2 linked regions of the Oryctolagus cuniculus genome follow. The protein of the gene in region 2 interacts with the protein of the main gene of each other region in a pairwise test. Links are inferred from orthologs where the notes say so. Each region holds a gene or a part of one and is shown on either strand. Other genes may lie near its edges. The genes, in order: PTPN5 and VTI1B.

Region 1 (3,804 bases), on a different chromosome or scaffold from region 2:
GCCCTGCCTGGGGGGGGGGGGCGGGGGGCCTCGGGTCCCCTAGCACCTAGGGCCCTGCTGGCCACTCAGGATTCCCACTGGGGAGGGCAGCAGTCAGGCCGTGTCTCCCCTGGTCCTCGCTGGATTATGGAGAGCCTCAAGCCACTCCAGCCGTGGCCTAGCTTCCAGGCCCCAACCTCCTGTGTGTGTCCAGCACAAGCTAACCCTGCTCGCTCAGAGCCAGGTTCAGGGGAGGAGGACCGGGCAGGCTTAGCAGAGGCCGCCCCTCAGGTCCTGGCCACCCTGCGGTCTCCTTGAGGCAGCACCCGTTTCTCAAGGCTAAGAGCTGAGATGTGAATAAGACAGACCGTGCACAAGGAGCCCCGGTGCAGCGGGAGAGACAGGTGCACAGCATGATGGTAACCCAGCAGGAGGCCTGGCACCAAAACGGTGCCTGGCGCGTGGCTCGTGGATGGACAGACGGACGGGTGGGTAGATGGTCAGTCAGATGAGTGGATAGATGGACAGACAGGGCAGGGAGAGGTGGACAGGTTAGGAGGAGGGGGAGTAGGTGGGTGGTGGATGAACACCTCCCAGCAGCGGCTTCTCCTCTCCGTCCTCACCGCCAAGTGACAAGGTCAGGGCCAGTCGCAGGGGATGCCACGTACAGAGACCTGGGCACACGCCAGGCGTGCTTGTGACCCCCGACACGTCTCACCCGGCTCATCGCGGTCCTCTGCTGTCCACTCTCTTGACTTCCACGCTCCCCTCTCCTGTCCTCCCGGCGCTGCCCGCGGAGTGCTGCACAGCAGAACCCTGGTCGAGTCGCTCTCCCCCTCAGACGCAGCCACTGCCACCGAGTGGCCCTTGGCTTGAGGGTCAGCTTTCTAAGCCTGGGTTAGATGACCCTGTAGCCTCTCGTTCCCGTCCAGCCTCGCCTCTCACGAGTCCCGCCCAGCCCTGGGCACTGGAATCCCACACAACAGCATCCCCTGCTCCTCCGGCTAAGGGCCTGCCAACCCCGCCAAGGAGCCACCTCTTCCAGGAAGCCCACGCAGCCGGGCCAAGTCTGCTCCCGCAGCCCCAATGCTCAACTGCCGTATGTTCCTCATCTGCCTGCCCAGCACGCTGCAGGCTCTGGTGTCTGGCGGGGGTGGGCAGTGCCCACTTCCGTCCTGCAGGCCAGGGGAAGGGAGATGGCCAAACACAGGCACAGCTACCTGCTCCCGAAGTTCCCCCTCGCCCCTCTCCATCCGCGCCGCCCTGCTGTGTCCCTCTGCACGACAACCACGGTGCTGCCAAGACCTCAGGCAGTGGGACCGGGAGGCAAAGGGCAGCAGAGGCGAGGTGTGCACGTCGCCGCCCGTGTTGCAGACTCTTCCTTTACCCGTTGCCTAATGGTAGAGTTGGCAGCAATGGCAACTGTGTGGCAGCTGCTCGCCGTGCGGCGCTGCGTGCACACTGGTCTAAGTTACCCGGCTAACTAACGTTGCCTCCTTTAACCTTCACACAGTATGTGGGGTCGTGGTGAACAGAGCATCCCCACCGTGCAGGCGAGGCACAGGGAGACGGGGCAGACTGTCCACCTCGATGCTGCCGGGGAGTCATGGGGCCACGTCCCACATCCAGGCTCTCTGGCTCGGTGATGTGGACTTGGCAATGACCACCACCTGTGCAAGCCCCCCTGTGCCCGCTAGAAGCGCCTTCGATCCAGAGAAGGGATCAGACTCTGTGCCAAAGTGAGCCCAGGCCCCAGAGCTGCAGGCCCCCAGCTAGCTTCCCTGCCCACCCCGCACCCGGTCCCAGAACAGACAACTACAGGGAGGCTGGCTGGAGCTGGAACAAAGCAGAGTCTACCCCGGGAAGAACAGGATGTTACGGGAATCTGTCACTCGGGGAACTGACGTGAATAGACTGGGGAGAGAGGGCCCCTGTGCACACGCATCTGTCGTCTCGTCTCAGCCGGTCAGCGACAGCGCATCCGCACTCTGCAGCTGCCACCTGCTGTTGGGGATCTCTACCGAAGGTCACCCCTTTCCTGCCGTAGCTTTCTCTTCCCCAGAACGTGGGGTGCAAGGAGTGCAGCACAGCTGAAGGGGCACGGGCACACAACAGGGCCTCTCCCACTGCCTCCTTACCCGAGGCCGCGCCTGTCCTGTCCAAATGGACCCCAAGAGGGGTCCTTGTTTAATGGCCAGGGGGAAGGAAGAATTGCCTGGGTCCCAGAAGAGGGGTGGGGCCCTGGAGTGGGCCGTGCCCAGGTCCCTGCCTCACCTGGCTCCCTCCCCCACCCCAGACCCTCACAGCAGAGTGTGTCTGAGCTCGCCAGATCCCGAGGATCCTCTGAGTTCCTACATCAATGCCAACTACATCCGGGTACGTAGCCCCATCCCGACGGCCAAACCAGTGTGGCTGCTGCCAGCCCCGGGACAAGCCCCAGTGTGGGGACTGGGCCCTGGGAGTGCTGCCTCCAAGCCTGACAACCTGGGCTCGGCTGGCCACAGGGCTACGGCGGCGAGGAGAAGGTGTACATCGCCACGCAGGGCCCCATCGTGAGCACGGTGGCCGACTTCTGGCGCATGGTGTGGCAGGAGCACGCGCCCATCATCGTCATGATCACCAACATCGAGGAGATGAACGAGGTAGGGACCCCGGGCTGTGACCAAGTGCTCGCTGCTTTGTGTCCTGTCCCAAGCATCAGGATCCCACGTGAATCCTAGGACTGGCCTGTGAGGCTGGCGGGGCTCACAGCAGCCAGAGCTGGACCATGTGGTCGCTGGTGGAGCCTGGAGCCAGCCTCTCCACCGCCGGTGCCCGTGATGCTCAGCTGCTTCCCAGCCGGCCAGGACCAACACTGGCTGTACCCGTGACAGCCGGGTTCATTGACTCCCCATAGAAGTCCTTAAGAATGAGGACAGTTTCCAACTGCCGGATACATACGCCGAGCCATAGAGTTCATGTTCTTATAGATTGTGGAGCTCGGGACCTGTTGTGTTTTTATGCCCCCTGCTGGCCCTGGAGGGGCATTGAGGAGGGATGGGGGTGTGGCAGGGGATGGGGCAGAGGGCGGGTCGCAGCCTGATCTGGGCCCCTGCAGAAATGCACCGAGTACTGGCCGGAGGAGCAGGTGGTGCACGATGGCGTAGAGATCACCGTGCACAGGGTCATCCACACTGAGGATTACCGGCTGCGACTCATCTCCCTCAAGGTGAGCTCTGGGGCCGGGCTGGGTGGATGGAAGCGAGGGGCACCACTGGGGACTCCACTGAGAACAGGGTGCAGCCGTCCACTGCAGCGGAAACAAAGGCCTTTGTCAGGATTTACTGATAAGTAGAGGCGAAGGAGGCGCAGATGGACTTGGGGGCCAGGCAGGACCAAACCAAACCTCAGCTGCTTTTCCTAGAGCTCAGCTACATTCGTTGCTGATGGACTCTCTCTATGTAAACTGCCATTTACAATGCCCGCTGGCCCGAGGCCGGGAAGGGGTGGATGGGGGGACTTCTGCAGCCTCCTGCACGGTCCTCATGAGTGAGGGCTCCTTAACGACTTGGAGATCTGCCCTAGAAACGGTCCCTTCAAGACCTGGGCTGGGCTGGGCTCCTGGCTGTAGTGCCGGCCCTGTCCACCAGAGGGCAGACGCTCCCTGCTGCTGCGGCGCTGCACAGAGGCTGTGGTTACAGAAAATGGCAAGAAAAGGGAAGGCAGCAACATATGAGCAGTGCAGAACAGCCCGGAAGAGTGAGCGGAGGGATCCTCCCACCCTGAAGTGGTGCCTCTTCCAGGATCGCATAACAGGAGACTGTTCCTTTCGAATCGGGGGGGATT
Region 2 (4,282 bases):
TAGAAATGGTCATTTTATAGGAAAATTGGCAAACTTTTGATAATACGGTAGAACAGATGAATTAATATTTTACTTAATTTATATTGAACATGCAATAACAAATAAAAATCTTTTTCAGTTGTTTGTCATGTTTTTACTTATGAGAATAAAAACCGTAAGAATTAAGCACAAGCTCACTTATAGTCGAAAGAAGACAACACTTCGTCGTTACAGCTTGGCAGTTATTTCTCACGTTAAGGGCCGTTTAGCCCGGAGTTGAGCTGTAATGCTACAATCTGCAGATGACAGTAACCTGGATTGTGTGCTGACTTGACGCCTCGCGCCCATTGCCTGCTTTGCCGACACAGCTGGAGGTCACTTTGTCCTCGTGTTCTGACCGCGGCATGCTGTTGATCTCTGCGCTGTAGCACAGTGCGCTGCCACCGCCACCCTCAGCTCTTGTCATCTCCGTGCTGGGTGTCACCTCCACGCACTGAGAGCTCAGCACTGTTAAAATCAAGCCTCAAATCTACTAGAAATAAGGGCCCGGGAGACACAAGTCACCAACATTATCCTCTCAGCATTCGCGGGCATTAAAATGTGCGTGCGTTTAAACTGGGCTCCCAGGCAAGCGAGAGCGAAGCGTGAAATCAGCGCCAAGGGGCACCTGTGCGCATGCAGTGCAGGAGAGGGCTTTGTCCACCTAGTGGTGGACCAGCTGAGGAAGCCCCGCCATCGGTGGCCCCTAGTTCATGTGCCCAATGAACTAGGCGAGCCCAGCCTAGAGACCAAGAACGCACACTTTGGGGTCCACTGCCCGGGGTTTCATGACCCTAGCCACCTGACATCCCAGTCCGAGGGCAGGCAGGACCCCGGCCCCGCTGTCTTTCCCAGGCTGAAAGCTAACACCTGATGAGGACACTAATTGTGGAAGCCGGGGTAGCACAGCAACGTGCAGACCCCATATCCAATAGATACCAAACCGCTGCGCAACTGGGCAGGAGGAGACGCCAGCTGAAGCAACACGTGACGCCCGAGCCTGCGCGTCCACTGCGCCGAACTACAACTCCCGGCATGCGCTGCGGCGCCGCCCTCACGGGCAGGGCCGTCAAGGAGGCGGCCGAGCTGCCCGACCCGCGGGCCCGTCGGGCCCTTCCGCTGTGACAACTTCCCCCAACAGCGAACCGGATATTCTAAGCGCTCCGGGAATATCGCTCTAACGTGCGGTGCCGCTGTCCCTCAGGACCCGCTCGGCAGCGAAACCCTTCCGACTTTCCATCAGGCTTTCGCGCACGGCGCTCCCATAGCGTTAGGCTGGAGGGCGTGGACGTTCCGGCGCGGGAGGACCCCGCCGCGGCCCCGGAAGCGCCTCGTCCGCGGCGGCGGGGGCGCGGCGGTCGCCGTGATGGCCGTGGGGCTGGGCGGCTGACCGCCGGGCCGGGAGCAAACTCAGAGCCCAGAACCTCGGCGGCCGCGGCCGTAGCTCGGCCTTCGTGATGGCTACCTCCGCCGCCTCCTCGGAGCATTTCGAAAAGTTGCACGAGATCTTCCGGGGCCTCCATGAAGACCTCTTAGGGGTGCCCGGGCGGCTGCTGGGGACGGCAGGGACCGGTGAGGCAGGGGCGGGACAGACCGTGGGCAGTGCAACCCCGTGCGGCCGGGCGCCAGTCTCGCCGCCCCTCATCAGACACGCCTCCCGGGGACCCCCCCCCCCCCCCGTGGCTTCTTAAAATTCGCATTTTGGGTGGGGAGGAGAGGTCTTTAAATCTGTGATCCTGTGTTCTGGGGAATGGGCTTCTTTCGTAGCTCCCTGTGTATTGTTTTACGCATTTAAAGGCCTTATTCTTGGGGGAGGCCCGTCGTTTCTATCAGTCTGGCAGTAGAGGGGGTGGAACGGGCGTTTGCAAAGAGAAGGGGAAAAAGGGGGAAGAAGCTGCGAGGGAGCGCGGAATCTCACGCTCTCAGCTGTGGAGTCGGGGGTACGTGGGGGAGAGCGCGTCAGCCAGGACGTGGAGGGGTCTGATTGTCCACGCCAGACACTTGGACTTGAGGTGGCGAGTCGGGCGAAGCGTTTCGGGCGGCTGGTTAATGCGGATTTTACTTTCGAGAGAGGGTGCTGGTGGCTGGATAGAGGAGCCGCACAAGAGTGAGGGGCCCGGGCTGAGAGCCCTAGTGGCGGGCGTCCGGGTGCGTGGGTTTCTGGGGAGTTCTGCATCCAAGAGCTGGCTCGGAGGCAGGAGCTGACCGGCCGGAGCGGCTGTGGGGAGCGAGGAGCAGCCGCGCAGGGGCCGGCGCGCTCACCTGCAGGCAGCGGAAGCCCACTTGCCCGGGTGTGTGTGTGAGGGCGGCGGGGGCGCCTGTGGAGCGGACATCACGGGGTCGCGTCCGTTGTAGCCTGACGAAATACGTGGTCTGCCGCGGGGAAGAACAGACCGGGGAACTGGGAGGCAGCGGTGAAGCAGGAATCCTAGGGCCGGGGTTCAGATCCACTTCAGCAGTGTGACCGCGGACACGTTTCTTTAACCAAACTAGTGTCCCCTGCAAAATGGGAATAAACTGAACTGTCTGCTTCTAGGGTTTTTGTGAGGAATAAATGCGTGAATCAGGATAACGCCCCTGACGATAGTAGGCAATTTCTTGTCATTAATATGTGGGGAACTGAGTGTTTCGGGCGAGACTACCAGCTCTGTATACTACCTCTCTTAGCTTGCTCTGCGTTTCCCCCAGATCGCTTAGTCTCTAACAGCGTACTAGACACTCCGCATATTTGTGATAGTTACAGTTGTTTGTCTTCTTTCCCCAGAGTAGTTTTTTTTTTTTTTTTTTTTTTTTTTTTTTAATTTATTTGAAAGGCAGAGTTAGAGAGAGAGACAGAGAAAAGTCTTCCATCCGCTGGTTCACTCCCCAATGGCCGCAACAGCCAGAGCTGAGCTGATCCAAAGCCAGGAGTCTCCGGGTCTCTCATGTGGGTGCGGGGGCCCAAGGACTTGGGCCATCTTCTACTGCTTTCCCAGGCCACAGCAGGGAGCTGAATCAGAAGTGGAGCAGCCGGGACTCAAACCCATGCTCATCTGGGATGCGTGGCAGGTGGTGGCTTACTTCACAGTGCTGGTCCCCAGAAACTGTTTTTTGTTTGTTTGTTTGTTTTTTAATATTTATTTATTTGAAAAAGTTACACAGAGAGGAGAGGCAGAGAGAGAGAGAGAGAGAGAGAGAGATGTCTTCCATCCAATGGTTCACTCCCCACTGGCCACGACGGAGCTGCGCTGATCCGAAGCCAGGAGCCAGGAGTTTCTTCCGGGTCTCCCATGTGGGTACAGGGGCCCAAGGACTTGGGCCATCTTCTGCTTTCCCAGGCCATAGCAGAGAGCTGGATTGGAAGTAGAGCAGCCAGGTCTGGAACCGGTGCCCATATGGGATGCTGATGCTTCAGGCCGGGGCATTACCCCACTGTACCACAGCGCTGGCCCCCAGAAACTGTTTTAACAAGCAGTTTGGTTTAACCACCCACCTGGGGATATTTTTTAAATTTACAAAAGAAAAATTGTGTTGTACCCCCCAAGTAGTTACCATATTCTCACTGCATTTCCATTTCCCTATGAACATGTCTTATTACTATATTTGTCAGAATTAAAGAGCTCACACCCAGTTTCCCTTGTTTTTAAACCCAAACTCTTTTTATCCCTTCCAGCACGCCCAGCCTCTAGTAATCAACATTCAGTGTTCAGATTGAGAGGTTTGGTTTGGTTTTGTTGGTTTTTTAAATTTTAGCTCCCACATACAAGGGAGAACAATGCAGTATGTGTCTGTCTGTGTCTGGCCTTACTTCACACAACATGATGTCCTCCGATTCCAACCATTTTGCTACAAATGACAAGATTTCATTCTTTTTTAAAAGTAACACTTCAGTGTATATACATTCCACATTCTCTTCATCCATTCCTCCCATGGTGGACACCTTGGCTGAGTCGTTACTTTGTCTGTTGTGATGAGCACGGTGGAGCAGGCCCGCTGGGTGAGCTCTGAGTCACTATTGAAGTCAGTGCTGTGTTCGTGTGTTATGTATCCTAAGCACTTAGAGTGTCTGGTGCCTCCTGGATGCTCCATAAATAGCTGTTGAACGATTGATTATATAATTGCTGCGAAGAAGGTACTCATTTATGACTGTTGAGACTCAGTGACTGACTTCTGTTCACGTTTTCATTACTTTTAAGATGGACATCTAGACCCATTAGAACCACAGGAGAGATTTTTTTCCCCATAGTGTACATTCAGTTTCTGCCTTTGAAGGATAACTAAGACT

The links.
Region 1: the proteins of VTI1B (region 2) and PTPN5 interact in binary tests that used the Homo sapiens proteins (3 or more experiments, as listed by UniProt). The two-hybrid records come from large-scale screens. The link is inferred for Oryctolagus cuniculus from reciprocal best matches to the Homo sapiens genes VTI1B and PTPN5.

The regions. Positions count from the first base shown.
Region 1 is NC_091432.1:47,714,429-47,718,232, forward strand, and holds part of PTPN5 (tyrosine-protein phosphatase non-receptor type 5), read left to right. Parts: intron 1-2,275; coding exon 2,276-2,355; intron 2,356-2,483; coding exon 2,484-2,621; intron 2,622-3,076; coding exon 3,077-3,187; intron 3,188-3,804. UniProt on the Homo sapiens protein: May regulate the activity of several effector molecules involved in synaptic plasticity and neuronal cell survival, including MAPKs, Src family kinases and NMDA receptors.
Region 2 is NC_091451.1:13,562,264-13,566,545, reverse strand, and holds the start of VTI1B (vesicle transport through interaction with t-SNAREs homolog 1B), read left to right. Parts: upstream 1-1,327; 5' UTR 1,328-1,475; coding exon 1,476-1,590; intron 1,591-4,282. UniProt on the Homo sapiens protein: V-SNARE that mediates vesicle transport pathways through interactions with t-SNAREs on the target membrane. These interactions are proposed to mediate aspects of the specificity of vesicle trafficking and to promote fusion of the lipid bilayers.